Alligator mississippiensis: one gene and its partners. The protein of the gene in region 2 purifies or fractionates together with the protein of the main gene of each other region. This does not show direct contact. Links are inferred from orthologs where the notes say so. Each region holds a gene or a part of one and is shown on either strand. Other genes may lie near its edges. The genes, in order: CORO1C, ACTR2 and CHURC1.

Region 1 (10,260 bases), on a different chromosome or scaffold from region 2:
TAGCTCCACACGCTGCAGGAGATGCAGCGGCTCTCGCTTATCTCTCCTCTCCTTACATATGTTCATGCTCTACCCGCTTATACTTCAAACCGGGCTAACTGCAGATGGATTTAAAGCTCTATATAAGGCTTCAAATCCACGCAGTCTTGTGTCCAGCACTACCGAATGCTTTCAAGCCATACCACGGTCCACATCAAAAGCCGCAAGACTTATTTTCTGCAGACAACCTTCTCCCCCCTCCACCCATCGCCATCATGTCCATCTTAGTACCGCAAGGGCAGCACCCAGCTCAGCATGCCCTTCCAAGGAAAAAATGCCCACGTTTGAAAACGGCTTGCGGAGGGTAAAGGAATGGGGGAAACTGCCTGGTTTTTAGATTGAACTTATTCAGCTTTTAAGTCAGACAGGGTCCAGGAGCTGTTGCTCAACTGCGAGCTCTGAGAAAGCGGTGTTCCTGTGAAGTGGTTCTGCATGCTAGCTAACTTCCCGTTCTTTAGTCGGCCTCCAAAATCTCATTAAAAATAATAAAATTAGCTTCCTAAGCAGGGAGGAGTAATGGAAACAAGCTACTGGCTCAAACTGTCTCTGAGTGCATCTGCATTGCTCCTCCTCTTGAGAAAATACTTTTTCAGCGGGACCCGGGTCCCGTGTCAGTCGACTTCAGAGGGACGCGGAAAAATCCAGCTCCCCACCCCGCACTGGGAAGGCAAAGTTTCCAAGAACAGTCGGCTCTCAAGGGAAAAGGGCGACTGTCTTATTTCTCCGCATCTGCAGCTTCTGGACCCTTCACTGAAAACAGCAAAGGATTTCCCGCATTGTACATTTTCTCTATCACAGTTTATGCCGTCATAGGGAAGGCAGGGCCTCCACGTAGTGTCTGAAGTGCCCCATCTCCGCAACAACAGAAATTAAGGGTCCGGCCATAAGTTTGCCAGCCCATATGTTCCTAACTCAGCAAAAAGGACAAGGAAATTCACCTTTCGAAAGGGAAGTGAAGGTCTGAAACGCTTTGCACACCCCATACAGGTTTAGTGTGTGCCAACATACGTGTGCACACAACCTCTCTGCAATCAGAAAAGATGCAAGACTCGCTATCGTACACCTGCATGCAAACACACCTCCAGGTAGGTTTAAAAACGACCTACTTTGTCACATCTGTGCACTAAATAGTTAAAGAGTCACGTGTCTGGAAGAAAGCTCCCATCAGAACTGGCCAAGCAGTCATGCAGTAGATATACCATTGGAAAAAAGGAAGGAAAAAAAAAGTCTGCTAAGTGTCTTGCAGCTTTACCAGTCAGTCAATTATATAATGAGACGCCTCCAATTTCCATGGAAAACAGGAAATATTCTCTACAGTGCATTTCTTTCCTGCACAATTCCAACACCCTTAGTGTTTCTGTTGAATGCCGAAGCACTAAAGACTACGAGCATAGCAGACCCGGGGCCAGCTTGCCCCTGGTTTTAAAATCTGCAGAGGATACGGACCATAACGTGATGTTCAAAGGAGCCCGTAATGTTGGTATAAAAGCTGCAGGACAGAGCCCTGGAGAGCAACGCTCGAAGTCAGGAAGGCAGCAGCCCCAGTTTCCCCCAGGCTGCTATATCAGAGGGGCCCAGTCGCTCCCGGGTTTCTATGCAAAGCCTGATAAGAAACGTGCCAACGAGGCTGGCGATGTCTGCAAGGTGGACATCTGTCCATCTCGGAGCAGAGCAGACCACCAACTGCTTCCGCGCAGGCCAAGCAGCTGTCGGATGGTAATGACTTCCAGCCACTGATGACCCGAACCGAGTTCACGCCAGTGACCTGGAGGTAAACGGCTCTCTATTTCAGTCCAAGTCTTTTCAGCCATCCGGTCTAGACAGTTGCTTTTAAAAAAAAAAAAAAATTCTCATTACTGTGATTTCAGCTTCCACCAAGATCATCGTGTTGCTGCCCAAATAGTTTGGCTTTCCCTCTCCCCGAAAGGACACGAGGGATGACCTGGCACACTGACAGCTCGGCTTCCCAGGGTCTTTTCTCTGTCCGAGCACAACCCACCTACCGCCTCCGCTGCAGTTTGCCTATTCTCGAGTCTCTACTACTCAGCCAGAAATCCTAAGTGATTATTTAAGGCAACACAAAGGGCCTTACCTATGCACACAGAGGATTAGAGACGGACCGTTTCTGGCAGGGGCCTGCTACATTTCTCCAAATGAGTTAGCTGCTTTTAAGCTACAGAAGTGCCACAAATGGCGCTTTATTAAGAACTCCTGTAGCTTAAAAGAAAACAGCTGTAAGTCCGAACGCTAAATTTTGCGGGCAACTGGAAACGTAGGGCTGAAAAGTGCTATGAGAAAAAGCTAAGAATTAGCATCTTGGGATTTACAAACTAAAAATTACTAACTGGAACTACTCCGGCTGAAAATGAATGCACAAAACATTTGTTACTGCACATAATTTAGAGCAAAGAGGAAGCTATTGCAAAATAAAAAAACCGACACACATTTGACATTACACCATCACAAGGCCGGGAGCAGCAACTTCTCTTCCGCCCAGATTAGCATATTAACAGGAAAGCCTCAAGTCCCCCACAAACGCTGATAATTTCTCATGCTCGCAGTTTATTGCAGCAGTGTAAGTGGTCGAGCTAAGCTCTGCGGAGCAGCCCCAAAGGAGCAGTTCAAGTTTTATTTTTATAAATATATAATCGCACATGCACGTACACAGTCGCTTCTACCTGGTAGGTGGCTAGACTCAACTCTCGGGTGAAATACCACAACTACTCAACTACTTATTTAAGATGACCCTGCAATAATTAGATTTGAGACATGAAACATCATAATAATTTTGCAGGTCTAGAATGTAATTATTGGGCGGGGAGGGACAGGGGTCGTCTTAAATTTGAAGTCATCTTAGATTCGGGTAAATACGGTAATAACTCCAGGTGGAAGTGCACCAGGATGTTGCTCTTCCCCTTGGGAGAAATGCCCTGCAAAATTCAATTGCCGCGATTCAGAGGCGCATGCTGAATGCTTCGAGCATGTGGCTGCTTCGGGAGACCCCAGCTGCAATCCCAGCTTTGCCACCGACCGGCAGAGTGACCTCTGGCAAGTTACTTAGCCTCTCCATCCCATATGCAAAGGACAGAAAACACACCTGTCTCACCTGAGCAAGGGCAACAAAGAGGCTTGAGCTTCAGGTAAAACACATCGCAAAGAAGACGACCTGGCAATGCTATAATACAGAGCCGTATCCTGCCCCTGGGATTCTTTCTAACCGGCTGCTCTAAGGCTGATGAAGCCTCCTCCTCTCCATTGCCAAATCGTTTCCCAGCTAGCCAGGCCGCTAACAAACAACGTGCCCAAGAACGAAGCTAATCCACACGCTGGGCGAAGTCGGGGAAGGGTGTGCTCCGAAGGCGCCGCGGGTTGCAATATCCAGGCAGAACAGCAAACACCCATGCTTGGCACGGCTCCTGCCTACCTGGCGACACACCTCCCGGGATCTCTGCAGGAATGAGTCAGGAGTGGCTCACGTACGGGGCGAGACGGGCGAGCGGGTCGGCGGTGCAAGGCGATACCTTTTCACAAGGACTTTGCAAGCCCATAATTGCCCCGCTCCCTGCCCCCTTCAACCTCGCTGCGTGCCAAAGCGTCAATCAAAGGCTTTAGCCAAGGTAAAGCCAGTTTTTAGCCTGTGCTCAGGCGGTCCCAACCCTGGACAGCCCCGGCTCCACATGCTGCGCGTGCAGTTCTGCAACGTGTCTGCTCGGAGCCTGGAAATGGAGACGTTATCATCACAGCTCCGGCAGCAACCCTGCTTCTCTCCACCTGCTCGCTCCCAAAAAGCCTCCGTTCTCCAGCACGCTGGCCTGATGCCCCCCTGCTCTTCTCCCACCCGCTAAGAAATTCCCTTCTCCCCACGGTGAAAGGATGCCACCCAATTTCCCTCCTTTTTATCACAAGGAAGGGGTTTTAAAAAATTACCCATCGTTTCACCAGTGCAAAAGGACTCCAGGCTGCTGGATCCAATCTCTTCGTTCAGGAGCGTTCGGCTCAAACGCACACCTTTGCCATAGTGCCCGCCTCCCCTTCCCTTCCCTCCCCCCACTTCACCCAAAATGCATCGTTCTCAACAGGAACCGTCTATGATGAACACACGCTGAACAGTCTCGCGGAGCCCTCATTTCCATAGCAAAGGGAGTGATTCTTGGCTTTGGTTCACAGCCATTTTGATCTGGCTGCTTTCCAAAGAGGAGGAGAAGGCGTGCAGGCTCCAGGCAGGGAAAAGCAGCTGCTGTGGCTCCTTGGGTGCACCAGAGAAAGTGAACAGGTGAAAAATTAAAAAAAAAGAGAGGGTTAAGCTTGATCCCAGAAAGAGCTCTCCACCCTGCTGCAAGCCCGGGAAGACTGAGCGGGCAATTCGTTTCTCCATACCCCACAGCAGCAAAGCTTCCCTTCCCCCTGCGAGCGGAAAAGAAAAATGACAGCTGCAGTCTGAGCGCCCCTGGTTCTCTGACCAGGGTGATTTCGGCTGCAGAAAGACAGGACGACCGGGAAAAGAAAAAGCCTCAAGTTACAATCTCTGGCCAAAGGGATCCTTTTCCGCACCTCCGGGGCTGGTGCCTGAATAGCCCGATTCAGCCCTTTATCATATATGCAAAATGGAGCGGGACCTGGCTAATTCAAGCTAATGACGGGGGACCCCTGGTGAATGACTAATTTGGCGAATTCCTTAACGGACGAGAGCAAGAAAGAGAGCATCGTGAAGATGCCCTTTGTTTCTCCGTTGGGCCAGAAGCGGCTCCAACAGTCGGGCAACGCTCTCGCTGGAGGAAAGATGCTGTAACGTGCTGCCCGAGAGCCACGGAGGTCTTCGCCGGAGGGAACTCGTTAGCAGCGCTGCGCCTGCGATCAAAGGAGCAGGAAGGGGAGATCGAGGTGTGCTCCTTCACATGGGGATATCTGCCTCGAGAAAGTACAATTAAAGAGGGTTAAATGCTGCGGGGTTTGGGGGGCGGGTTAATTTTGCTTGAAAATTCAATGCAAAAAAGTACCACTTTATAATATAGAGCATCTTGCAATGCACATCAGGATGGACAGCCTTCAGCTTTTTAAAGCTAACGCCCCCAAAGCCGTTTTCACGGCCGCGTGCAGGGGTCACATAGACCCCTCGTGCTCCAAAATGAAGCCCGTTCTCCATCAGTGTGTCCCTGGGTTTGCCCCTTTTCCTGTTCATGAAGGACTTATCTGTCTAAAGAGCCCAACAGATGTATGCCTGCAGCTTGGAGGGTTTTCAGCCGGCTTTCTGCAAAAGGAAACGCATCCTGTGAGGGGAACACGGACAGGAAAACCCCCCACTAACGGCAAAATCCTGCTCAGCCCATGTGGACGCGGGCCCTTTGGAGAGAAAGGCGCACCAAACAAATGGCCAATTTAAAACACTGAGGCAAGCCAGAGGCCGGGAAAGAAAAAAGAAAATGCCTTCAAAAGCCAATGGGAGAGAAGAGCAGTGTTGCAGGAACTCTTGCACAAGGCTGGTACTGCCGATGAGAAGGAGAGAAGGTGTGGTTTGGGGTTTTTCCTCCCCTCCTTCAGCGAAATGTTTTTTGGATGAAACCTCCAGCGCCAGATCTTTGCCAAGTTAGACCCGGTCCTTCCTTACCACGGAAGATGACAAGAAATGTGTGAAAACTAGGACGCAGCGAGACCATCAGATATAGTGTCAAGCACCGTCTGCTATTGAGGCTACCCAACACTTCAAGCAATAAGATCCTGTGGTCCTGCTTATACCTGGGCGATTCTCAGTGGTTTGGGATGAAGTTTCCCACGCTGGGTGTCTCCATCAAGTGCGGGAAACAAGGGCTGGAGGACCAGTGGGGGAGAGGAGGCAGAGCTGATGAAGAGTCAGGGTGCAAAGGGCAAATGAGGATGCTGAGTTGGACCCGAGGAGTGGGGGGTTAGACTGGAAATGGGAAAGGTAGGCAAGGGGCGACCGGGGCCGCTGGGACAGGGATTACATCGGACAAGGAGTTGGGATAGCGAGGGGAGCGGGCAAGGGACAACAAGGAGACTGGGAATGGCTGGGCACAGAGAAGCGGCAGGATGGAGACCGGGTTGAGAGTCTGCCTGATGGGCTGGGATGAGGAGTGGGGAAGAGATGGGTCTGGGGTCAGCAATAACTTGAAGGAGAGGGGGCAGAAAGGGTAAAGTTTGGGGGTGGAGGAGAGAAACGTGGAGAGAAGGCTGTATCCTCTGGAGCCGGAAACGCAGTTCAAGCTCCTTGACTCTAACCAGTCCTCTACTGCCAATGAATACCAGCGATACCCACTGACACCCAATCAATCCATGCTAAGAGTGACAACCTACTACTGCCGTCAGTTCCTCCCTCAGCTCAATTAGCAAAGGACTGCAGGTTCCAGCCTCGATGCTAAGCCATGGGGACATCACGCTGACATCGCATCCCAGGACCCGGGGGGGTTCTCGTGTGTGCAATTTCCTTCGGTAAAATTGGCAGAAGCCAAGAGCTCGACACCCCGAAAAAAAGATGCCAGGATCCAGGCAGCCCCCTCCAGAGCCTGCCTTCTGGGCAATCTCCAGTTGTATGATCCTGTGCTACTTTTTCTACAGCACCCTTGCCTCATTCAGAGCAGATGAATAGAAGCGCGGGTAATAAAGAGTCTGTCGCCTCATCTCATTTGTTACAGGGGTTGGGAAGTAGCTAGAGAGTGACACAAGAGGTGGAAAAGAGGGAAACGGCCTCAGAGCCTTGTACAATGGGACTCTACCCCATCCGCTGCCACAAGATCGTGATGCTGGAGGGTAAGTCCCTTCGCTCAGGCTTTACGCAAGCAGGCTGCTCTCGGGGTGTTCCTCTTTTTTCTGAGGTCTAACAAGCAGAAGTGCTGAGCTGCAGCTGAGTTCAGGGAAAGCCTAGCAAAGTTCTTGCAAAGTGCTAAGACCAAGCGTGCACCAAAAATTAAGCACGCTGTGCTTCAGTGCGAAACACGAGCACTAACGCCTTTGTCGGACAGGGATGCCGGGCAGATGAATCCAGCGATATCTGGGATGCTCTCAGATCCTACAGCAACGCGCACCGTAGCAAAACTCACGAGGAAATGAATAATGCTGTCTTCAGCGTGGAGTTGGACCAGTAAGCAGCAAACACAGCCTAAAGCCACATGCTGAGCACTGAGGATAAGGGAAATGTTTAGGGTTTAAGGCAAGAAAAACTGCTGCAATCATCTAGGCTGACCTGCCCCTGTACAATCAGGCACAAGAACTGCACCCAGGGGTTACAGCCAGTGCAATCCAGCCTGAGCACTGAGCAAGACGGGAGTCTGGGGGGATGAACAAGCATGGTCGTATCGTGCCAGGGGGCTGACAAAAGGTTGCTGCACCAACCTTAATGCTGGCATGTTCCCAGCTTTGGGGCTTGACATTGCAACCACATTAAGTCTTCTTTGGTGCGCGGCACAATATAGACATGTGCACACTTCTGTGCCTATGTGCATACATCCATACACACGCACTGGAGTTTTTAATCACAGAAACACTGACTTTAATGTGATGCCCAGTCACCCTTCTGCCCAGCTATTTAGCAGCGAGGACTTCCTGGAGGCGTTCTGGCAGCAGTGGGCCTTAACAGGGGTGTAAAGGATGCCAACAGCTTCGTGGGTCAGTTTGGGGAGGCGCAGAGGGGCAGACGAGGCTGGCGTAACTGGAGCAGAGGCAGGGACAGACCTCCTGTAGCTGAGCAGACATTGCACAATCCATCCCAAAGCAGCCAGCTCGCTGCCTGCAGGAGGCTAAGGCCAGTCATTGATCTCAAAGCAAGATGAGGCCTGCATCAGAAGATAGATGGGGAACATTAGACCCTTAACAAGAACTATCAATCCCTGCGCTGAAAGCCAGTCAGAGAGACGGAGCAGCACTGCACCCTCACTAAGGGTCCGGAAGAGGAATGCACCTTCCCACCGCTGCATCCTTTAAGTGGCAGTGGGTTTTATCAAGGCTTGAGCTGCCTGGTGTTTCTTCAATATGAGCTTTCCCCTTGAACATGAGAGGAGGGGGAAAAAAGGTAGCTAGCACTGCCTTCCAGCAGCAAACGGAGGGTGGGCCTGCTTTGGGACAGCCCTTCCCAAGCCGTTTGGCTGCTCAGCACCCGGGACATCCAGAGCGCACGCTCCCAGCTCCTCGGCTGGAAGGAGCTAAAGCCGTGCGAAGTGCTTTGCAAGCAGCATTAAACCTCACTGGACTCGGCTGCTCCCGTCTTGCAGACGGGGCAAAGGCTGGCAGTTCTGTGGTCTGTCCAAGCTCGCGCAGGAAAAGCAGAAGCAGGAATAAAGGGGGAACAACCCAACACCCAATCCTGTGTTTCAAAGACTTCACTTTTTCCATGAGATACCCACAGCTGGGTTAGAAAGGCAGGCGCGCTCCAGGATAGAGGAATCCCACCCATCCACCCAGCGTTGGGTTTAATCTGCTTAGTACCACTCTGCTCCCTGCTCCCATAGGCATCTGGGGAGCTGCGGATGCAGAAAGCGCCGCACAGTATTGCTTAATTCTCATACGTATGGTAGCAGGGCCTGGGTGGTTTCCTTAGAGACCGCTCGAGGTATGCTGCACTGAAGCAGAGCTCTTGAGCACTGCTGCGAACAGGCCTTTGCTACCGCACGCTGGGCGTTTCTGCTGGAGGGTTTCTGGCTGTGCAATTAATTTCCTTGGGAGAGCCTGTGCTTAGCGGCATTACAGAGCCTACACCTTGCTGACATAACACTGGCCCTCGGCAGGCCATTTCTATCGAGGGCTATTTAAGATCATTACCCAGAAAAGACAGCATTGTCCGGCCGCATTCAATCTGTGTCATTTGCCTACTGCCATAGCGATGAATGCACAGAAAGCCATTAAATACGGCGGGCTGGAGGACACGGACAGAGCTTGGAGCTGGAAGGCAAAGATCATTCTGCAAAATCCTTAACCTTGCATTCAAAATGGCCAAAATATGCAACCGGAAGCGGGTACCCATTTCCTCGTTGCAGCTCAGCGGGAGATTACACCACCACAAATAAGCCCTCCCCCAGCAAAGCGGTTGGCGACTTTGTCGGTAACGAGAGAGAAATAGCTCCTGTTTGGGTACGCAGCCTCGAATGTGAAGGGATGCCGTCAGGTCGTATCTGGATCAAAATGCAAGCGCTAACACGCAGACGCACAGAAATAAGATCGATAACACTGTTCCTAGTATTTTTAATCAATTCTAAAAAGGCCAGTCCTTTACACGGCACCTGGAAGTGATTTAGGAGCTTACACCCACACCAACTCCCCGATGGGAGAAGGGGGAAGGAGTGGGAGAACGCATGTCTCTGCTTTATCCCAGGCCTTTCTTGAACTCATGCCAAACTGCCAATTCCCCAAAATCTTATCTTTTTTTCCCCCATCTGGTTTTTGCCTGTTTCTCCCATTTTACCGCAAAGCCTGTTTAAATACAACACCACCCTGCTTTTGACTCACCATTTGACCCAGGAGACCCTGACACTGAAATGACCAAACAGACGAGAAAAATCGACCTCCCGCCACCATCCCTGATGTAAACAGCAAATTAACTGAAAAGCAAAGTGGATTTTTTTAAGGCTGTTTTTTTCCATTTCAATAATATTGAGTGCTTGTCTCACAGAAGGAAGGAAAACCTGCATTTTTTACCGGGATTTTTAATCCAACGGCATCATATTCAGCTGAATGTAAGCATTCACGAAGAAAGCAAACCCATAAAACAGTGGCTCTCAATCTTTGTAGGCTCAAGGCACCCCTTGAAAACGCCAGCTCTTAGCTTTCACTCGCTTTGGACTACAGAAAAATAATGCAGCAATTCTTCTGATGCAAGGACTCGGAAAGAGCTCGATGGGTCAGAAGGTTTTTGACACTATGGAAACCTACCCATGATTCACAAGAGAGAGACGCTCAGAGGTGCTGGAAAGCTGAACAGAGCGAATGTTGCATGACGCCCTTACAAGGATCTCGGGCACCCTGGCTGAGAATCACCGCCCGAGTTTTCCACCTGTTCCCCTGCATGGGACTGAACAGCTCAACCTTGGTCTTTTTTGAATGGGGTAAAGGACCCAGGCGATTCCCTCTCTGCGTTGCATACCCTCTCTCCCATTCCCAGCAACAGAGCAAAATTCCTCCAGTCCACCGTCTGTCTGAGCTCCAGCGAGACTTTGCCCGAGAGCCACGGGAGACGCCACCTGCGCTCCAAGGGAATGAATCATCACGTCGGCAGCCACA
Region 2 (10,224 bases):
ATTAGAGCATGGCTTTCTTCCTTAGTAGCCCAATTACTGGAAAAACTGTCATTTACGAAAGTCATGGGGGCAATGTTACTAAGATGGACAAAAGATCATTTGCATATTTAAAATGACCTAGTTAATATACAGCACTTGTATTAGTTAATGCATTAGTGTTTTACATTAAGCACATGAGGTTGGAAATCTAGCTTACCTCAGTTGGACCATACTTTGCCATTATAAAACAATCATTGAAAATTACTGGAAGCTTGCATGAAAATTAGTTGCAGGATATGACCCAATGGAAAATAAACGTGTGTAGCACTTTCATCCCCTTACCTCAAGCATTTTACAAATGTGGGATAAGTCTTTGTTTGTGGGATAAGTTTGTAGACAAAGAAATTGCCAGGTCAAATGACTCATCCAAGGTTGTGTATGTTAGTCAACTGCAGACCAGGCAATAGAGCCCAACTCTTGTGCCTATCAAACCAGTGTCCTATCTACAGGACCACAGTGTAAAACAAGTCAGATGATTTCAGTTTAGTTAATATTTCAGGCTTGATAGGAGGCTTCCACTGCAATTGCTTATTGTGCTTTATCCAGCAATGCAAATCCCTCACTTTTATGGACATGAAACCTTTCCACATACTTATAAAAATCTATGCATGTTGCCGCAGGTAGATTAAAGCACATTACGTACCCAGACAGAGCCGCTACTGCTCCAAAATGACAAGAATGCCCTTCCATTACAGCAGCATCACACTGGATTAATCCATCTTTGTTTGGGTAGCCTCCTCGTCCTACTACATAACTCCCTGTCTCCTCATCATTTTCAATAGCTGGAGATAAGTAAAGTTTAAAAATAGTTAAGCGTTAGACCCAAGTTTCCATTTTTTAAAAATCCGAGTGCTTCCCAAAATCCCATTAAGAAATTGAACAGTACAGAAGGGTCAAAACGAACACTATTTATGGGGGACTGACATACGCATATGAAAGAGTGACCTACATCCCCCAGGCTGTACCCCATGTCTACAGATAGGCACCCCACATCCTGTTACAATGGGGAAGCGGGCACCCCCACCCCATTATGCAGTGCCGTGCCTCACCGACAACTCCCTGTGGACTTTTTGGAGGCACTTTGTCACAACAGGGCTCTGGGCTGCTAGCTCCCCTGACACCACAGGTTGTGGGGGAAGGTTAAGCTGGACTGTATCATGTCCTTTGTCCCCCCTGGGGGTAGGTCAGGCAGTGGAAACTGGGGGAGGGGAAGCCCCAAGATCCCATCTGATATAACAGGGGCAGCAACGACCTAGTGGAAGTCTGGGGTAGCACCATACCTAGACTCATTGTGGCCCCGGGCAAACTCTTCATCAGCGATAACAACAACAACAACAGGAAAACGGGGAAAAATTACCATTTTGGGCCCCATATCTGTCCAAGCCCCGGGCAGCTGCCCAGTTCACCCATGCCTGTGTCTGGCCCTGGTCTGCGGGCTGCTTGTGAACCCTTCCCAAACCATGTGCAGCCCATGGACTGCCAGCTGGACAGCCCTGCCATAAACAAAGGAATTGTGCTCAAGTGCCTTTGGCTACATTGAAGTAAAAGACATTTGTTCTAACATTAGGTAGCACCAGCGATACAGGAATTATCCAAAAAGCCGAACAGCATTTCTGTAGCCTCATTTCAGTTGATGGGAAATTTGGATACACAAGCAAAGCAGTTGAAAAGCAAAGCAGTTCTGGGCCAAAAAGACAGGAAACTCGATAAGAGCTCTGTCTGTCTGTTTCTTTAAAGAAATAAACACCTGTTTACTCAGAAGGGGACAGAAACTGGCAAGGGAAGGGGACTGATGGGGGCTCCAGTCAGCCTGGAAAAGTAACAACTGCCCCAAAACAGTACAGGGTACTTGACCATGTATTTTTTTAACTCCATGAGGGCAGACACTTGAAGTCCTGCCACTTTTATACACAATGTGCCTTAAGTTTGTGTTGATGGATGCAAGGTCACGAGACAAACAAACTATGCTGGGATGCACGCAGAGCAGGGGCTCTCACCCTTCCCAGACTCAGGGCAACATTCAGAAAATGCCAGCTCTTCATTTTCACTCATGTTTCCACAGCCGCTGAGCTGAAGCCTTTGGAGAGCCCCCAGCAGGACACAACAGATTTAAAACCGCTGGCTTGAAAACTCAGGGTTTCTCTTAGGAATCAGGGGCAGATCCAAAGGGGGGGTGGGGGGGGGTGTATTAGTGCATCTGTGCCCCCCACTTTTGACCCCTGCTCCACTCCAAGCTTAAAACCATGCACTTAGCAGCAGCATTTCTAGCCAGGTAAAGCTGAGGGAGCCACTTGACTTCCCGGAGCCGCTCCCCTCCAAGCGCTTCACTCTCGGGTCGTTAACGTCTGTCCGCGCCCGTGGAGCGCTCCCACGTCCCGCCCGTGCGGCGCGCCCGGCCCCTCCCGCTGCGCCTGCGCCTCCTTCCTTCCCAGGAGCGGGCGGCGTCCAGTGGGGCTTTCCTCCGACCCCGCGCGGCCCATCCCCACAAGTCCAGCTCCCATTGCTTTTTAAAGGGGAAAAAACCAAACAACAACCAGGTGTTAACCCCTCAGCGCTGCTGCACGGGGTCTCCCCTCACCTGCCATGGCTTCCTGCACGCAGTCCGTGGCGTCCGCGCCTCGCAACAGCAACTCCCGCATCTTGCGCAGGGCGGGCAGTGAGAAGGCCCAAGTGCCCGCGGCCGCCGCCATGGCAACGCCTCGTGGAGTGGGGGGAGGGGGCGAACATGCCGACCGGCAAAAAAAAAAAAAAAAGGTGGGAGAGAGGGGGAAAACCGACGGGCAGAGCGCTGATTGGCTGGCGGCGGCCTGTCAGTCACGGCGCGCCAAGGGCGGAGCTAGAAGCGGTGGCTTCCGGTGTGTGCGAGGCCGGCGGTTGAGTGGGGCGATTGGCCGGGCGCGGACATGGACACGCTGGGCAGGAAGGTGGTGGTCTGTGACAACGGCACCGGGGTGAGTGGCGGGGCCCGGCCCGGCTCGGCTCTCGTGGTAGCGCGGCCTGCTTCCTGCCGGGGCTCCGGCTCCCGTCCCCGCCCAGGGCTACCCCACCCCCGCCGCTGTATCGCGGCGCCTTGAGGCCCCAGCCCCGCTGCCCCACCCCCGCTCCGTGGTTACCCCGCCGTGGCGGCACTGCTTCCCCCCCCCCGGGCTGTAACGCAAGGCGGGGCTCCTCGGGGCCGGGCAGGCGGGAGTGGGGCGGGGCGCACGGGCGTGGAGGGCGGTGTTCCTTCCCCGCCACTTCCGCGCCCGCCTGCGGCCGGCGGCGGGGACAAAGAGGGGGCGAGGGTCGGGCCTGCGAGCGGGGTCGTTGGGTGGTGGGAAAGGATCCGGCCGTTTTGGGATCCTGCGGCCTGATGGGTCCACAGAAGATGACTGTACTCAATTAAATGTACGTGAATACCCACACTTACAATTCGGAGGGGTCCACACATCCATTCTAAATTGTTATGGGGTCCGCAAATGAACAAAAGGTTGAAAACCACTGGTTTAGCACCTCTGCAGTTATTGGATGATGGTATTGTAGCCTTGCTAGGTCCCTTCTCCTTCTTGGGAACATTTAGAGAACTAAAGAAACTGACATTACCAAGGGAGGAAGAACTTTTGCATCAGGCAATTGGGGAAGTAATTTTTATTCAGACTTTCTTTTTTTTTTTTTTTAAAGTACTCCTTCCCCTTAAATATATAATGCTGAAAGCTAAGGAGCACATGAGACACAGTGCATCTTTGCTGCTGTTTCAACACTGCTATTTTAAGACTTGACAACTCTCAATAAATAGCCAAGTTCCCTAAGAAAGTGCTTAAGGAAAAGAAATAATTTTCTATTTAATAGTGATAGGGCATGGAATCTTTAGGTCATCTTTATTTATTATAAAGAAAAAAGTAGTTTGCTGTTTTAGAATAATTATTACTAATATTTTTTCTGAGCTATGTAAGGCAGTGATGCTCAGTCTTTTGGTCCAATGGATCAAATGAGTGGTGTAGGGCTTGGTCATGGTCCCCTGCACCAGGATTGGGCCCTACAGTACCTCTGCCCAGCCCACACACCTGGATTGGGTCATATACAGACTTGCATGGCCCCTGTGTCATCCCTGCCTGACCACATACATTAGGATTGGGCCCCACGCTGCTGTATATGCCTAAATCAGCATGCAGGGCTCCTCATGGAAAATTTGGCCACTACTTTGTTGCCACCAAATTTTTGGACCCACAGGGGGTCCTGCAGGCTGGCTAACATGGCACCAGGGTTTAAATGTGGCCCATAGGCCAGGGATTGAATGCTCCTGAAGCAAGCAACAGCACCATTATTAGAATTTTAAAATTGCCTAATGAACCCAAGGATTTGACCATATAAACAAGAACTATTTTCAAATTATAGTACAGGTTTCCCTCACCAACCACGGTTTGATTATCCATGCTTTAGAGAAGCTGGGGGATGCAGTTGGAAAATACCCCCCATGCCCCTGGCCCTGCTTGTGACTCTCACTCCCCCCCCAACCCTACACCCCCCCCCTCCCCCCCCCCGGCCAGCCTTGCTGGTGCTCCTCACCCCCCACCCACAGCCCCTGTTCCCCCAGCCCTGCCAGTTTTGCCAACCACAGAAACTTTCAGGAACCTAACCCCCATGGTTGGAGAGGGAAACCTGTATAGCTATAGATCATACTTTAAATTATAGTATTTTCAACTTAAGTTTTATATATACTTATTGCAGACCTTTTGTTCATCTAATGTTAAATGCAGCCTCAGTCAGATTGCAATCTTTTTTTTGTTTTTGTTTTACAAAGAGCATCATAAGTGTATTCTCATGACACGTGATATAGGAAGAACTTTGAGAAATTCCATAGAAGCATTTTAAAATCTAGAACATTTAAGCTGCATGTTCTGTGCTTTTCTAGGGCAAATGGCAAATTACTGTAGGCTTGGAATTTTGTCCTAATTATATTTAGAATTCTTTTGTCTGAGTTGCATAACAGTATTTTACCAGGGAGACATAAGATTGTTCAGTATGAAACTTGTCATTAAAACAGGTTTGTGAGCAGATGTAGATGGTGTTCTTATTTTTGTTTAAAAGGAATATCTTTAGCCTGCATGTTCTTACCACTTGATGACTCAGTAGGAAGTGAGAGAAGTCATTTCAACCACAATGCTATGAAGAGGAAACTATATATGGTAAAATAATCTCTTACACACGGTATCTTGCACAGATCAAGCAAACTAAGAAGCTGTTCTTAATACGCTCTCTTGGATTATAAGGTGCAACCTTTACAACTTGCAAAGATGTGGGGGGGATTTCAGTGTCAAGTTCTTCACTATGTAAAGACGGATGCAGTCACGTATTTAAATGTTAAGAATCTGTTGCACCATGCTGAATTCAGATGACTGGTACCTCAAGGAGTACATACATGATGATGTGGTGCATCAGGATTTGTGCCATTGTTAAGGTTTTATGAGAGAGTTCCAGTTTCACAAGAGTGGTGAATACTGGGTATTTAAGCATTAGTAAAATCAAAATTGATTATAATTCTTGATCAGGTTACCTTAAGGGGGGGAGGGGTGTGCCCTCTATTATATAACGTGATGCTCTTGGAGAGATAATAATCTTTGGGGAAACTAAGTGCCTGCCATCTTTTCTTGGGCATATTTGACTTTTTTTCCTCCTCCTTTGTAGTCTTTTTATCAAGAAATCTAAAATGCCCTGGGATCTGTCCTTTTGTCACGTTCTTGCTGTTTGCATTTTGTGCATCAGTTATTGGTTGCTGGTGTGACACAACTTCTCAGCTGGAAATCGCAAACATGTACCAGTCTGAACCACTTGAATCTTACTTGATGATACAAAGTGATAATGGAATTTATATTATTTCGTTTCAAGGGCAGCTGAAAAATGAGGCTGACTTTGGTCATTTATCCCATTCACTAAAGTTCCCTGCCCACTATGAACCTGGGGACAGGGAGCTTCCTAATCTGGGTAAGAGGAGACCAGAAGTTAAAGCATTCTCTCTTCTGTATACCCTTCTAGTTCCTGTGGCACCTGGTAAAAAATTATCAGTGGTAACTGTGGTAAAAATTATCAATGCTGTCAGCCAACACTAACTTAAAAAAAGAGGTGGAAGTAATCAGTTTCTGAACATTCTCATCTTCCCATTTTCTCAAAACGTTAACAGAACACTTAAGATCACTTCCCAGAACAGTGCCTAAAATGGTATATCTCAGTCCTACCATTACACCATCCTGTCTTTCAGAATATCTAAATCATTTTGATGTTCTCTTCTCTCTAACCACTGTATGCCACAGATCCAGGGAGTGAATCCAGAGGTCTCTGATTGCCTTTCTTTTGCTTACTCGACAGTAGCCATTCAGTTTGCTGGGAAGAGGCATGTCAGGTTGTTCTGTAGTGGCTGATATAGGAAAAAGCCAGCAGATATTGTAAAGGTTGTTCACACTGAAGTTTGAAAAGTGCAAACTAATATACAAGTTATTCTGGTGTATGTGGTTCATATTTAACTGTTGGCCTGTCGCTTCGGATTCAGCCGATTCAGGGGACAGTGATTTGAATCACTGCCCAAATCACCTGAATCAAATTGGCATCTGAATCAAACAGCTGCTGCCGCCGCTCCCCCCCCCCCTCCCCGGCTCTCCCAGCCCTGTCAATGGCTGCCCTGCCTGGCCCCAGCCTCCCAGCTCTTCAAAAAAAAAAAAAAAAAAGCCCAGGGCACTCACCAGCTGTTGCCAGGCAGGGGGTTGATCCCTGCTGCTCCCCACTGCCCGATGATGGGTGGGGGGCTCTGTCATGAGCCCCCATCCCCTACCCACTCTCCCAGCCCCAGCATCCTAGCTCATCCTGGCTCTTAAAAAGCCCCCACTCGCTGGCTGCTGCCAGGCAGGGGGGCAATCCCTGCTGCCCCGTACTGTGTGGGAGGCTCTGCCATGAGCCCCAGTCCCCTCCCATGGCTGCCATGCCCACCCCAGTGTCAGGTCATTAAAAAACAAACAAACAGGGGGGTGGTCCCCAATGCCCCACGCTGCGTGGGGGCTCTGCCACAAACCCCCAGAAGCCCCAATGGCCACTGCAATAGCTGATAAGTGCAGGACATTTTCTTTAAAGAACCAGGAGCTGGGGCCAGGTGGGGCAGCCTTGGGGGAGGTCAAAGGGGGGCTGGGGGAGCAGGCAGGGGATGGGTCCCCATGCCACCTCTCTCCGCTTATCGTCTAGCTCCCTGTGGCAGTGAGCGGGGACTGCCTAAATCTCCAAAGCTCTCTGAATCTTTTCTGAATCGATTCAGACCTTTTTTTTGGTCTCCTGATTCAATTAGGAGATTCAGCTGATGAATCAGGCCAAGTCTCCGAATCAAATTGGCACCTGAAGCTTCTCATGGCCATAAAAACTGTTACATTTTTCTGTTTATGTATTGGTATAAATGGAGCTGAACAACTGCAACTTAAAATTTGTTTTCTCTCTAGCTCAAATGAAGGAGGCTTAAAGTTATAGTGGTTTATCTTCGCTTATGCTGATATAAGAATGGACAGATATAAGTTAAATCAGAACAGCTGATGAACAGTCCAAAGTGTCAGTTAATCTCTCCCGTTTCAAGTGGTATTTGTCTACAGCCCTTTGAAATGTCATTAGATTCAAACGCTGGTTACTGCTGCATGTGATGGCCTAACTCCTCAACCAGTGCGCCAGAAAAGGGTATTTACCTTCTCAGTCCTCAAGGCATGTGAAACGCTGGCAGCTCAGATTGAGAGAGTCGCACTTAACACAAGCTGTAAAAACCATTCTGCTTTTTAAAGCATCCTGCGATAATGCATCTCAAGTTTCAGGTGTGCAGGTTATATTGTGAGGGAAGGAAAAAAGCAATAGACGCATCTGTGGATATAATGCTGCTGTTTTTGGTTTTGGCTGTATGCATCCAATTTCACAGATGTCCATGAGAAGCTATGAAATGTGTTGGGCAGTGAATGATACCTGCTCCTTCACGGAATTTCTCTCCAGCTGACTTAATTGCATTAAACCAGGAGAGTGGTACTTTTTAAACAGGGATAAAATATTTTATATGTTTACTTTTCTGGGGCATGCCAGCTGTATAAAAAGCTATGAACCCAGTGAACAAAGCTAGTGACAGTTCAGATTGGTGCAGGACCTTTAGAAGCATAGAGATAAGGGGAAAACATCATTTAAAAAAAATTAAGTTTTATGCTGCCCACGACATCATTGACACTAGACTCAGATGCTCCCTAAGGCTTTTTGCTTCATCTGTAACGGTAATGTTACCCCATTTTCATCAAGCCTACGCTGTTGCAAAACCTGGTATGTTGAGGCAGAATAATATTCTGTAACTTCACAAGTGCATAGGAAATGCGACAGTCCTGCTAATCTGTTGCTGTCTGTTGGATTGCAAGTTTTTTGGAGGGACTGTCTCTTTGGGGCATCCATAGGATCTTGGTCTATGATCAGGGGTCCTAAGCAATATAGTAATATTGTTTAACCAAAAGCAATATTGTGAGATTGCTGAGGTTTTGTGTATGGTACGAGTTTGGAGTAATAGACTTGTAAGGAGCTATTCCTCATTAATCAGTGCGCCCTGAGAGCACTTCAGGCTTTCTTAAATACCCTTTCTTAAGTGTAAAAACACACAAACAGATAGGTTTTGTGACTCTATCCAGTTCAGACCTAAAATAACTAGCGCCCCTTCCTTGCTGTCAGCAGGCACCACTTTCTTTTAGATGTAGATCAAATTTGAATAATTTCTAGATATTTGTGGTCTCAACACAAGCAGAAGGGATCACAAGAACTTGTCTTTCTAATTTATTTTATATTCCTGGAAAGCCTTCTCCTACTTGGAAATTAGTTTTGCCTTTTGCAGAGGAGACAAAAATATTAAGTAAAGCTCTTTCGTTCCTCAAACGTCAAAATGGGTCTATTGTTGGAGCTGACAAAATAAAAAAAAATAAGTGAAGCAAAAGAAAAGCGAGAGCAATCACAGGCAAAAAAAATACTTCCCCCTCTTGCTTTCCCATGGCAGGCCGTGGAATGAAAATTAGACTTGTTCACTAAAATGTTAGTGTTTACTTTGCCTAATAACCAACTCTGTGTGGACTTTGCTTGATGGGAGCTCTCCTGTGGACAGAGGCATGGGTATATCTTCAGTTTTTTAGTTGTAGTCCAGGGAATTTTAATTAAACTACCAGTTGGCTCTTTCCCATGACAAGTTTCATATCCTTTTTCTAAACAGAAATGCAGTAATGCATATACTACCATTTTTGATAGAGAGGTAGATTCCTCATTGTATTTTTAGAAAATCTCAGTTGATGTGAACTCCAGAGAAGCATGAATTAGTACACATGTGGAGCTATGGTAGTTATGGCCATCATCTTTATAGTCCAGTTCACAAATTGGGTAGAGAGAAACTTTGAGGGGGGAGGGAATGACAGGAGTGACATATGAAAACATGGGTATGCCATTACTAATCAATAAAGTAATTCATATTACCAGTAATAGGTTTACTGAGTTCAAGGACTTTGCAGAACTTGAGACTGCAAAGCAGATTGCATGTGTTTTGGGATTGGATGGGTTTGACATTATGCACTGATTTGCTTCTATGAACGATTTAAAAGAAATCAGTTATATGTATACTGTAATAGTTAGGGTTGCGCTGATAGAGATTTTTGGGGCCGATACTGATAGCCGATTTTTAAGGTGGCACTTCAGCTGATACCGATCCAATTTCTGATACCAGCCCAGCAGTTGGGAGAGCTGCATGCAGCTGGTAAGTCTGGTGTGGTGGAAGCGGAGTGGGAAGGGAAGGGGTGTGAGGGGTGCAGATCAAGGCCCCTGTGGTGAGGGAGGAGTGGGGTGGGGGCTGGGGCAAGTGCTGCCCAGCCAGGGTGCGGTGGGCACAGGACAGAACCATGGCTTGGCCATGGGGCTGGAGGGGTGGCTCCTGCTGCTGTGCGCCGCTGGTCCAGCACTTGCCCACTGGTCCGTTGGCTGCCACTGCTGCTCCCACTGCTGCTCATCCGGGAGGACATGGGGGGAGCCTGTGCCACCAGATCTGCATGGGGCAGGGTGGGAAGAGCCCTGTGCAGCCCTAGCCCACCCCACGTCACTTAGTGCTGATCCGGAGGCACGTGCCGCTCTCCTGGACAAGCTGCGGGAGCAGTGACAGGAGTCACCGGACAAGTAGGTGAATGC
Region 3 (10,239 bases), on a different chromosome or scaffold from region 2:
CCCTGCACAGGCAGAGCATGGCAGTGCTGTAGCAATGAAATTTGGCTCCCGGGGTCCAGCAGATCCTGTGTGCCCTGGATGAGCTGCTCTTCAGTGGACGTGAAGCCGGCAGCACTCGGCAGGTGGGGAAAGGGGCAAGCAGCCAGACACTTCTTCCACAGCACAGGGCTAAGCCTCCAGCTCCAGGTGGGCCCCACAGGAGGGGCTGCGTGTGCTCCGCCAGGCTCCACAGGGCCCCCCCAAAGCGCAGGGCCTAGGGCAGTTGCCCCAATTCACTCTACCAAGGGACAGCTCTGCCTGGACCCCTTGCCTGTCCCTACAACTGGGTAACCCACCAAGTTGTGGGGGCTGGGGCTTTAAGGCACCCCATCCTCGCCTTTCACTAGGGAGGCAACTGGCATGGCATTTCCTGGGGACCACTCTACCACGGGTGAACCCACCACACCATCCCACTCTAGCAGGGTGTAGTTTTGGGTCATTCCCCAGGACCAGGAACCTCCTGCCATCCCCATAGCTCCTGCCCTTACCTCCAAGATGTTGTGAGCAGCAGCTCCAACCTAGCAATGTTCCACCTATGGCTGCAGCCAGCAAACTGCTGCCTCAGTCCTGAGGGCCTGGGTTTAAAATGGAGGCTGCTCAGCCCCCTCCTCCTATCCCAGGACCTTCCTGTGGCCATATGACCTGCTCATTACCCTAGCTTACACCTGCCAGCTGCCCTGCAGGCACCCAAAGGTGCTCTGCCACAACTAAGAACACTAGCTCCATCCTCTTTGGAACCACCCTTCAGGTACTTGAAGGCTGCTATCAAATCCCTTCTCAGTCTTCTCTTCTCTAGACTAAATATGCCCAGTTCCCTCAGCCTCTCCTCAGAAGTCCCCAGCCCCCTAAATATTTTTGCTGCCCTCCACTAGACTCTCTCCAATTTGTCCACATCCTTTCTGTAGTGGGGGGGGACCAAAACTGGACACAGGACTCCAGATGTGACCTCACTAGTGCTGAATAGAGGGAATAATCACTTCCCTTGATCTGTTGGCAACACTCCTACTAATGCAGCCCAGTCTGCTGTTAGCTTTCTTGACAACAAGGGCACTGTTAGCTCATATTCAGCCTATTGTCCACTGTAACCCCCAGGTCCTTTTCTGCAGTGCTCCTGCCCAGCCAGTTCATCCCCAGCCTGTACTCGTGCATGGGATTGAACAAGGACTTTCCACTTGTCCTTGTTGAACCTCATGAGATTTCCTTTGATCTAACCCTCCAATTTGTCTAGGTCACTCTGAATCCTAGCCCTATCCTCCAGCATATCTACTACTCCCTCCAGCTTGGTGTCATCTGCAAACTTGCTGAGGATGCACTCCATCACATCTTCAAGGTCACCGATGAAGATATTTCATAGATTTCGTAGATATTAGGGCTGGAAGGGACCTTGGAAGATCATCGAGTCCAGCCCCCCGCCCAAAGGGCAGGAAGTCAGCTGGGGTCATAGGATCCCAGCAAGATAAGCATCCAGTTTCATCTTGAAGGTGTTCAATGAAGGTGCTTGAACAACCTCTAGTGGCAGGCTGTTCCAGACCTTGGGGGCTCGGACAGTAAAGAAATTCTTCCTTATGTCCAGCCTGAAACGATCTTGTAGTAGTTTGTGACCATTCGACCTCGTCATCCCTTGGGGCGCTCTGGTGAACAAACGTTCCCCCAGATACTGGTGGTCACCCCTGATAAACTTGTAGGTGGCCATCAGATCACCCCTGAGCCTGCGCTTTTCCAGGCTAAAGAGCCCCAGGGCTCTCAGCCTGTCATTGTAGGGTCTGCTTCCCTGACCTCTGATCATGTGCGTGGCTCTTCTCTGGACTCTCTCAAGCTTCTCCACATCCTTTTTGAATTGTGGAGCCCAAAACTGGACGCAGTACTCCAGCTGCGGCCTCACTAAGGCCGAGTACAGGGGGAGAATGATGTCCCGGGATTTGCTTGAGAAGCATCTATGGATGCAAGCCAGCGTTTTGGTCACTTTACTAGCCGCAGCATCGCATTGCAGGCTCATGTTCATCTTGTGGTCAATGATGACCCCCAAGTCTCTTTCTTCCATAGTGCTAGCTAACATAGCACTGCCGAGCCTATAAGGATGCTGCGGGTTTTTTTTCCCAAGGTGGAGAACCTTGCATTTATTGGCATTGAACACCATCAGATTCTTGTCCGCCCACTTGCTGAGCCTGTCCAGGTCAGCCTGGATCATCTGCCTGTCTTCTGGTGTGGATGCTTTGCCCCAAAGTTTGGTGTCATCTGTGAACTTGGCCAGTCCGCTTCTGACTCCAGTGTCCACATCATTAATGAAGATGTTGAACAGTATGGGTCCAAGGACAGAGCCCCGGGGGACCCCACTGGTCACAGGACACCATGATGAGTGACTTCCATCAATTACTACCCTCTGGGTCCGACCCCAGAGCCAATTTTCCAGCCAGTGGATCGTGGAGGACCCAAGGTGACAATTGGCCAGTTTCTCCAAGAGACGATCATGGGACACCAGATCGAAGGCTTTTTTGAAGTCAAGATATATGACATCAATCTCATCTCCCTTGTCCAGGTGATAGGTCACCTGGTCATAGAAGGAAATGAGATTGGTCAAGCAAGACCTACCCGCAACAAACCCATGCTGGCTATCCCTTAAGATGTTGGCGTTGGCCAGTCCATTAAGGATGGCCTCTTTAATAAACTTTTCTAAGATCTTCCCTGGGATAGAAGTCAGGCTGATGGGCCTATAGTTAGCCGGATCCACTTTCCTCCCTTTCTTGAAGATAGGCACCACATTGGCCTTCTTCCAGTCTTCGGGCACTACACCAGAGCGCCAAGAGTTTTCAAAGATCCGCGCTAGAGGCTAGGCTATGATGCTTGCCAGCTCCTTGAGTACCCTGGGGTGAAGATTGTCAGGGCCGGCTGACTTGAAGGTATCCAGCTTCTCAAGATGTTCCTTCACGAAGTCAGCATCAATGGAGGGCAGGGGATCACCCTCACCCGGACTTCCCGGCCCTGTAGCGGGCATGGGCGTCCCATGGGGCTGATGAAAGACCGACACAAAGTACCTATTTAATAGGTTGGCTTTTTCCTGGGCGTCAGTTGTCAGTTGCCCCATCTGGTTCAGCAGGGGTCCAACGTTGCCCCTGCTTTTCCTCTGGCTTCCCACATATCTGAAAAAGGACTTTTTATTGTCCTTGATGCTCAAAGCTAGCTGGAGTTCAGTTGCAGCCTTGGCTTTCCTGGTCAGCTCCCTACAGGACCGGACCAGTGCAGAATAATCCTCCTTGGAGGTGACTGCCATCCTCCATCCTTTGTAGGCCTTTCTTTTAAGCCTCAGGAGGTCTGCTAGGTCCCTGGAGAGCCAGGGGGGCTGCTGTGCCCTCTTGCTGCCTTTCCTCTGAGATGGAATAGACTTAGTTTGTGCATTAAGGATCGCTCCCTTGAGGAGCAACCACTCTTCTTGAACTCCCCTCTCCCTGTGGTCACAGTCCCTTAGGGCCTCACTGACAAGCCTCCTGAGCTTGTCAAAGTCGGCTTTCCTGAAGTCAAGGACTTCCGTGTTGCTGACTGACTTGCCAGCTTTTCAGCGGATGGTGAAGGTGATCAGCTCATGGTTGCTGTCACCCAGCTTCCCATCGATCACTAGGTTGCCGACTAGGTCATCCCCAGTAGCCAGCACCAGGTCGAGCAGCGCTTTGCCTCTCGTTGGCCCATAGACTTCTTGAGTCAGGTAGAGGTCATCCATGCACGAGAGGAAGCTCTGCAACCGCTCAGATTTTGCTGAGCGATCCTCCCACGAGATGTCCGGGTAATTGTAGTCACCCATGACAACCATGGTCCTGGAGCAAGCTGCCTCAGCCAGTTCCTGGGCAAACCCCTGGTCAAGCTCAGGACTTTGGGTGGGAGGTCTGTAATAGACTCCCACCATTGTGTCCCCTGTGCCGTGTTCCCCATGGATTTTAACCCAGAGGGTCTCCAGCCATCTACCCTGGTCGCCAATATCGGCTTGCAGGGACGCGTAGCTTTCCTTGACATAGAGAGCTACACCCCCGCCCCTTTTCTCTACACGATCCCTCCTGTACAGGGCATAGCCATCTATACCCGTGGTCCAGTCATGGGTGGAGTCCCACCAGGTCTCCATGATCCCTATGACATCGTAATTGTTTGCACTGAGCAGGAGGATGAGCTCCTCCTGCTTATTCCCCAAGCTCCTGGCATTAGTGTAGAGGCAGGCAAGTGCCCCCTGGGGGGCTCCTTCCTTGCCCACAGATTTTACCAGGGCTGGGGCTGGGGTGGGCTCCCTTGAGTGCCGTGATCCGCTGGCTTTGCAAGGATTGCTCAGCAGGCCAGCAGTGGCGGTAGCCCCCCCGTCCCCCAGCGGGCTTAGTTTGAAGCCCGGTGGAGCAGGTCAGCCAGTCTGGCTGAGAAGAGCCTCCTCCCTAGGGGAGAGAGGTGGAGACCATCTCTTCCCAGCAGCTCACTGCCTCTCTCGCCAAAGAGTGGGCTGTGGTCATGAAAGCCAAAGCCTTCCTGACGACACCAGCACCGCAGTCTTTGGTTGACCACATAGATCCTCCTGTCCCTTCTCAGCCCATAGCCTGAGACTGGGAGGATCAATGAGAACACCACCTGTGCCCCCAGACCCTTGAGCCCTGCTCCCAAATCCCTGTAGCGCCTCATGACCTGGCTGGGAGTGCTCAAATATTGAACAAAACCAGCATTAGGACTAACCCCTAGGGCCATGGGCAGCTGGTGCCTCCTAATACTGGGGTGGGGAGGGGAAGAGCACCATTGGCCAATTGCCAACCAGGATGGGAAGGGGGTCCCCCAGCAGCTGATGGCCACCACTGGCGAAAGTGCCGGCAGCAAAACCAGAAGTGTTGCTGGCACTTCTCTCAGGCGGAGCACAGCCAATCTCAGGGGGTGCGCGTGCACCTGCATGCACCCCCTATGCGTTGCCAATGCCTGGGGCACTCCACTTGATACCAACTGCCAAACAGACATTGAGCCATTGATTACCACCCTCTGAGCCCAGTGATCCAGCCTGTTTTCTATCCACCTTACAGTCCATTCATCCAGCCCATGCTTCCTTAGTTTGCCTGCGAACATGTTGTGGGAGACATCAAAAGCCTTCCTAAAATCAAGGTACACCACATCCACTGGTCTCCCGCATCCACAGAGCCAGTCACCTCATCATGGATGGCAATCAGGCTGGTCAGGCATCACTTGCCCTTGCTGAATCCATGCTGTTTTGCCTGGGATGATGTGTTAAATGGTTGTCACTCTCTGCTACTGCCCCTTCAGGGTCAACTTCATTTTCACTTAAACAAAGATTTTTGATGTTTTCAACTTGCATCCAAATCTGAGCGATCACTGTTATCCTCTGCTTGGCTAGGCATCTCATTGTTAGACCTAGACTGCTGTTCTACTGATGCTGAAATCCAATGTTTTAAATTGCTTACAAGTTTCTTATTTTCTTCTGCTCTGTTTTTTCCCAGCTTTTTTGTTTGCGCACCTGACTTTTTCTTGGGCCCCATGTCAAAAAGCAGAAATTACTCCCGGTCAGCAGTTAAAAATACAGTAAATTTGCTAGACAAGTTTCCTTGGGTGAATTTGATATCTTTTATTAGACCAACCCAAATAGTTGGAGAATAGTTATTAAGCAAGCTTTCGAGTTCAAAAACCCTTCGTAAATTTGCTGTACATTTTTAATGCGTTGTGTATCGCAGCAGTCTGACACTTGTTTCACAATATTAAAAAAAAGGGGAATTTGCTTACCTGTATTAAAATAGCCTGAAATGTTATAACTCCGATCAAACATGACACACAGTTATTTGGCAGGTAAGTATAATATTGTTTCACTGGCTTACACAACAATAACAGTAACTGGGAACTACGCACGTGTTGATGCAGTGCTGCAAACATTTAAATGGAAAAAAAAATTGCTACCTGACCGTTGAAACTGTTCTAATACCAATCTTGACGCTTTCCCCACGGGGAGCGGAGGAGAGCAGCAAAGCAGCCTGTGGTCGTGCCACTCTGGTGCCAGCCCAGCACCTGCAGCAGCCCCGGCGCTGGAGCCGCATCCCCTGTGCCGCCGCGTGTCCGCGCCCCCCCCGGCCACACCTGTCACACGGGACACCCCGCCCCAGCGCCCTCCCTCAGGGGGGCGGAGCACAGCGAGGCCAAACCCCGCCCCCAGGCCAGCCCTTCCCCTCGTGGCAGGGTTGGGGCGGCGACCGGAAGGGCGGCGGCGGCGGCGGCAGCAGCGCCATGTGTGGGGGCTGCGTGGGCACGGAGTACCCGGCCCGGGTAAGGGCGGGCCGTGGTGGGCGCTTGGGTCCCGCCTGGGCCTGGAGGCCGGGCGTTGGGCCTAGGGCGCCGTGCAGCTCGCGGGGCGGCTCGAGCGGCCTGTCCCCGCGCCTCCCCTCAGCCTGCCCGCGGGCATCTCCCTGCGTGCGCTGCCGGGTTTGGCGCAGGCTTGCGGCTAAGACTGCCTTGGATGCGGAGTGGAGGCAGGCCTCAGCCCGTGGGAAAATCTTTCCCTCCGCCCCCAGTCCGACTTGATGCGGCTGAGCAGCCGGCGTGAGCCTCTGCTTTGTGGGGCTGTGGATGGCGCAGATCCTGCTGGTGAGCCAGCCGCACTGCTGCCCAGCAGGTTCCCCCTCAGATCGGCCAAGCTGGCGTTGGAGGCCCTGTTGAGGATACCTAGACTTACTTGGGGGACTGAAGTGTCTCTGCTGACTCTTCAGGGCTGGAGCTGGGCTTCATGGCCTCTATGATGACCACAGGGCTGTCCAGGATAGTAACTGGGCTGACCCATGAGGCTCACCTTCAATCTAATGTTTTCCACCTGCTGAGATAGAGGAGCTCCAGTTACTGGGAGTGTCATTAAAAATCTTTCATGGTCAGATTATTACTTCCTAGAAGTGCAGATCTCTGCCCTCTGTTGCGCCTGTCAGGATGGTGGACTTGGCTAGCCCACCTCCTGAGACTCAAGGAACTAGTGGGTTTCCAGAGCTGGCTGTTCTGGTCTGTGGAATAACTCTGTGACCTTGGTCAGAGCTATAGGGGAACCCAGGCATCCATTCTTACTGTTGCAGTGGGACAAGTCCCCTCCAGTACACTGGGAAACAAGCAGCTTGAAAAGGAAGGTAGATGGCTAGAGCATAGGTGGCCCTCAGCTCATGCCAGAACTGACTGATTACTGTCCTTCTTAAAGAGCTATGGCAGGGCAGTGGCAAAGGCAAAGAATCTTTTCTTCTCCACTGCCATTGCATCTGCAAACTGTCATCCCTGGAATTGTTCTGGGTGGCGAATGACCTGATTAATCCAGCTCGTCTGCCAGGAAGCCATGTCTTCAGACTGCCTACTTTGGAGACAAAATTGCCTGTATCTGGCACAGCTTGGGGACCATCACTTTTGCTGCAGGATCAGTCTGAAGTTGAGGCAGCCCGGTCTTGTCCTGTTGATATGAATCATGTTGCTTTCGCGCACTATGTGCAGACTATGCTTTGGAGGATGAGGGTGACCAATTGTGAACTGGACCTATGCCCATCTTGGTTTGTAGAAACTAGCATGGAGAGACTAGTGAGGGTTGTCAGTGCCTCCTTTCAGGATGGCAGGGTGCTAGATGTTCTCACGTCTTCACTTGTCTGGTCCCTGCACAAGAATCTATCACTTGACACTGACTCTCCAGTCCAGCCAGTTATTGCCCTGTCTCTGACCTCCACTCTTTGGGGCAGGTCTTTGAATGGCATCCCTGGATGTATCTGGATGACATGAGATTCCTGAACACTCAAGAGTCTGGGTTTCATCTTGAGTAGTGTGGAGACTGACTTCATGGCCTTGGTTAATGATCTTGGCTTTTAGATTGACAGGGAAAATTGTACTTTTGATACAGTTGACCATGAGTTAGAGGGTTCTGGTAAAGGATTTACATGACCTACTGGGAATTTGCAGGATTACTCTAAATGGGTTCTGCTCTTCCCTAGCAGGGGAATCCCAGAGGGTGGTGATGGGCAAATGTATGTCATGCCCTGCAGAATCCTTCCCATGAGGTCCCTAGGGGGTCCATCTTGTCATACCCCTTGTTCCATGTGTATATGAGGCCACTGTGTGAGATGGTACAGAGATATTTGGAGTGAGGTATCATCCATATGCTGATGATACCCATTTGACCCAGGCCTTGCAACCTCAGTCCTTTTCTAGTGCCTGGCTGCAGTTGTACATTGGATATGGGTGAACCAAGTGAAACTGAATTCAGACAAGACAGAGGTGATGGTGGCTATTAGATTCAGAGATGTGGGTTTTCCAGAAAATTTTGAATTGGAATTTTTTCCAATGCCCCAAATAGAGTGTGATCTGATTTAGCATGTTTATTTGACTTACATTTAGTAAACAAAACTAAAAAAGTACCCCCATGTTAATTTTGTGTTCCAATAGCCACAAGTATATGAACTGAAATATTTGATTGGGAAAAAAATTAAATACAGCACACTTAATGTGGTTTAAATGCTATATTAAAACAAATTCAAAGCTTTATATGAAAACAATTATTTTATTAGAATACTTGTAAAAATGTAAAAACAATACACAATAGCCTGTACTTCCCCTACATTGTTTGTTTAAACTTAAGAAAAAAAATGAAAGCACGGAAAACTGTTGACACACTAATTTTAGCACATCCAAAGAACTGTGCATGATATGCTGTGGTTGCCCACTCATCTACTTCAACAGAGTTGAACTATCTTCCACTGAGGTCATTGAGGCACCTCCAGTTTCACTGTCACTATCTGTAGAATCACTTGCACTACTTACTAGTGCCGTTTCAGAATCAGATTGAGGCAGATCTGATTTAGAACCACTTGAACCACATTATCTTTCACTAAAGGATGGTGTTACCAATGAGTCTATGGGCAAGGGCAACTTATCATCACACTGAATCTTCTTCACTAATTGTGAAACAAGAGATTTTGAGAAATAGAAACAAGCTTAGCAGTGTGTTCATTTGCTAGTCTATTCTTCCTTTTGTCTTGATTGAGCTGAAAGCCTTCCAGTTCCATTCGCAGGAAGCTGCTGTTGGTGGAATGCTTAGGATCCTTAGAGCACTCCTGGACAACAGTCGGGTGTTACAGTATCCCTTCCATCATGGGAGGGGAAACATATTCTCTGCTGCCCGCCAAATGATGTCTTTGCTCCAAAGTTTTTCTTTTGTGCGGTCGGTACTTGGCAATGTCTGTCATCATGGCTATTTCGTCAATGTTGGGGACATTCTTAGCTACTTCCATAATTGTATTGAGAGCAGTAGATAATTCATCTTCTGATAAATGTGCTTGGTGTTGAGGATCCAAAAGGTTTGCTGCCAGATGAACTGGATGAGAGCAAAACGCAGATTTCTTAGTAAACATTTGTTTTACTCCTCCTCCTTTTTTGGATAGAGGTGAAGAAGGCAAAAGCTCAATTAGATTTTCATTCAGTTGTCTGAATATCTCTGGAATATTTGAAAGTCTTGGTGCATCTCCCTCAAGTTTCTTGATAGCCACTGAAACTGGAAGTAGCAAATTGAATGCTTCTTGAACTCGAACCTAGAACGCATCATTGGTGAGATTGCTTCCCTACGTTCACAGGAATAATCTGGGATACTGCGTCATCTCTTGAAGCACACTGCAAACAGTTCTTTGTGTGCAGCAAACTATGTAAACACTTTGTAGCCGAGCCCCATCTAGTTTCTCGTGGCAATAAAAATGCACTTTCCTTCCCCTGCTTCTCTTTCTGTAATTTCTTTACAGTCTTGATTAGCAATGTGATGATTGTTGAATACCTTCACAATCACTTTGTAGTTTGCCAATATTGTCTTCATTGTATTCACACTTACTATGTCCTTTGCCAGAAGATTCAGCCCATGAGCAAGACAGCCAAATACTAGTAAATGAGGATACTTTGCCTTTAATACTTGCCATGCAGCTTTCATGTTACTCGCATAGTCAGTTACAAGGGCTTGTACCCTGGAGGGACCTGCACTTCCAATCTCTTCACTCAGTAATTTGGCTATGTATTCACCTGTGAGATGAGAAGATTTGGTAGCAGTTGCTTTCAGGAATATTGGTTCAGGTGTTGCTAACAATGTTCAATAAAGGATTTCCTTGTATATCAGTTCATCCATCTGACATCAGTCAGTGATTCTGCTTGACCAATCCTTTGAATATAACCATTGTTTGAACTCTGTCATAC

The links.
Region 1: the proteins of ACTR2 (region 2) and CORO1C fractionate together in Homo sapiens (co-fractionation; 3 studies listed by BioGRID and IntAct, with this or other methods). This does not show direct contact. The link is inferred for Alligator mississippiensis from reciprocal best matches to the Homo sapiens genes ACTR2 and CORO1C.
Region 3: the proteins of ACTR2 (region 2) and CHURC1 purify together in Homo sapiens (affinity purification with mass spectrometry; 4 studies listed by BioGRID and IntAct, with this or other methods). This does not show direct contact. The link is inferred for Alligator mississippiensis from reciprocal best matches to the Homo sapiens genes ACTR2 and CHURC1.

Annotation. Positions count from the first base shown.
Region 1 is NC_081833.1:4,731,524-4,741,783, forward strand, and holds the start of CORO1C (coronin-1C), read right to left. Parts: upstream 4,057-10,260; 5' UTR 3,971-4,056; coding exon 3,967-3,970; intron 1-3,966. UniProt on the Homo sapiens protein: Plays a role in directed cell migration by regulating the activation and subcellular location of RAC1. Increases the presence of activated RAC1 at the leading edge of migrating cells.
Region 2 is NC_081824.1:214,971,960-214,982,183, forward strand, and holds the start of ACTR2 (actin-related protein 2), read left to right. Parts: upstream 1-5,108; 5' UTR 5,109-5,123; coding exon 5,124-5,204; intron 5,205-10,224. Other genes in the region: N(4)-(Beta-N-acetylglucosaminyl)-L-asparaginase, read right to left, coding at 683-821, 2,618-2,729. UniProt on the Homo sapiens protein: ATP-binding component of the Arp2/3 complex, a multiprotein complex that mediates actin polymerization upon stimulation by nucleation-promoting factor (NPF).
Region 3 is NC_081825.1:171,524,900-171,535,138, forward strand, and holds the start of CHURC1 (protein Churchill), read left to right. Parts: upstream 1-6,209; 5' UTR 6,210-6,279; coding exon 6,280-6,318; intron 6,319-10,239. UniProt on the Homo sapiens protein: Transcriptional activator that mediates FGF signaling during neural development. Plays a role in the regulation of cell movement.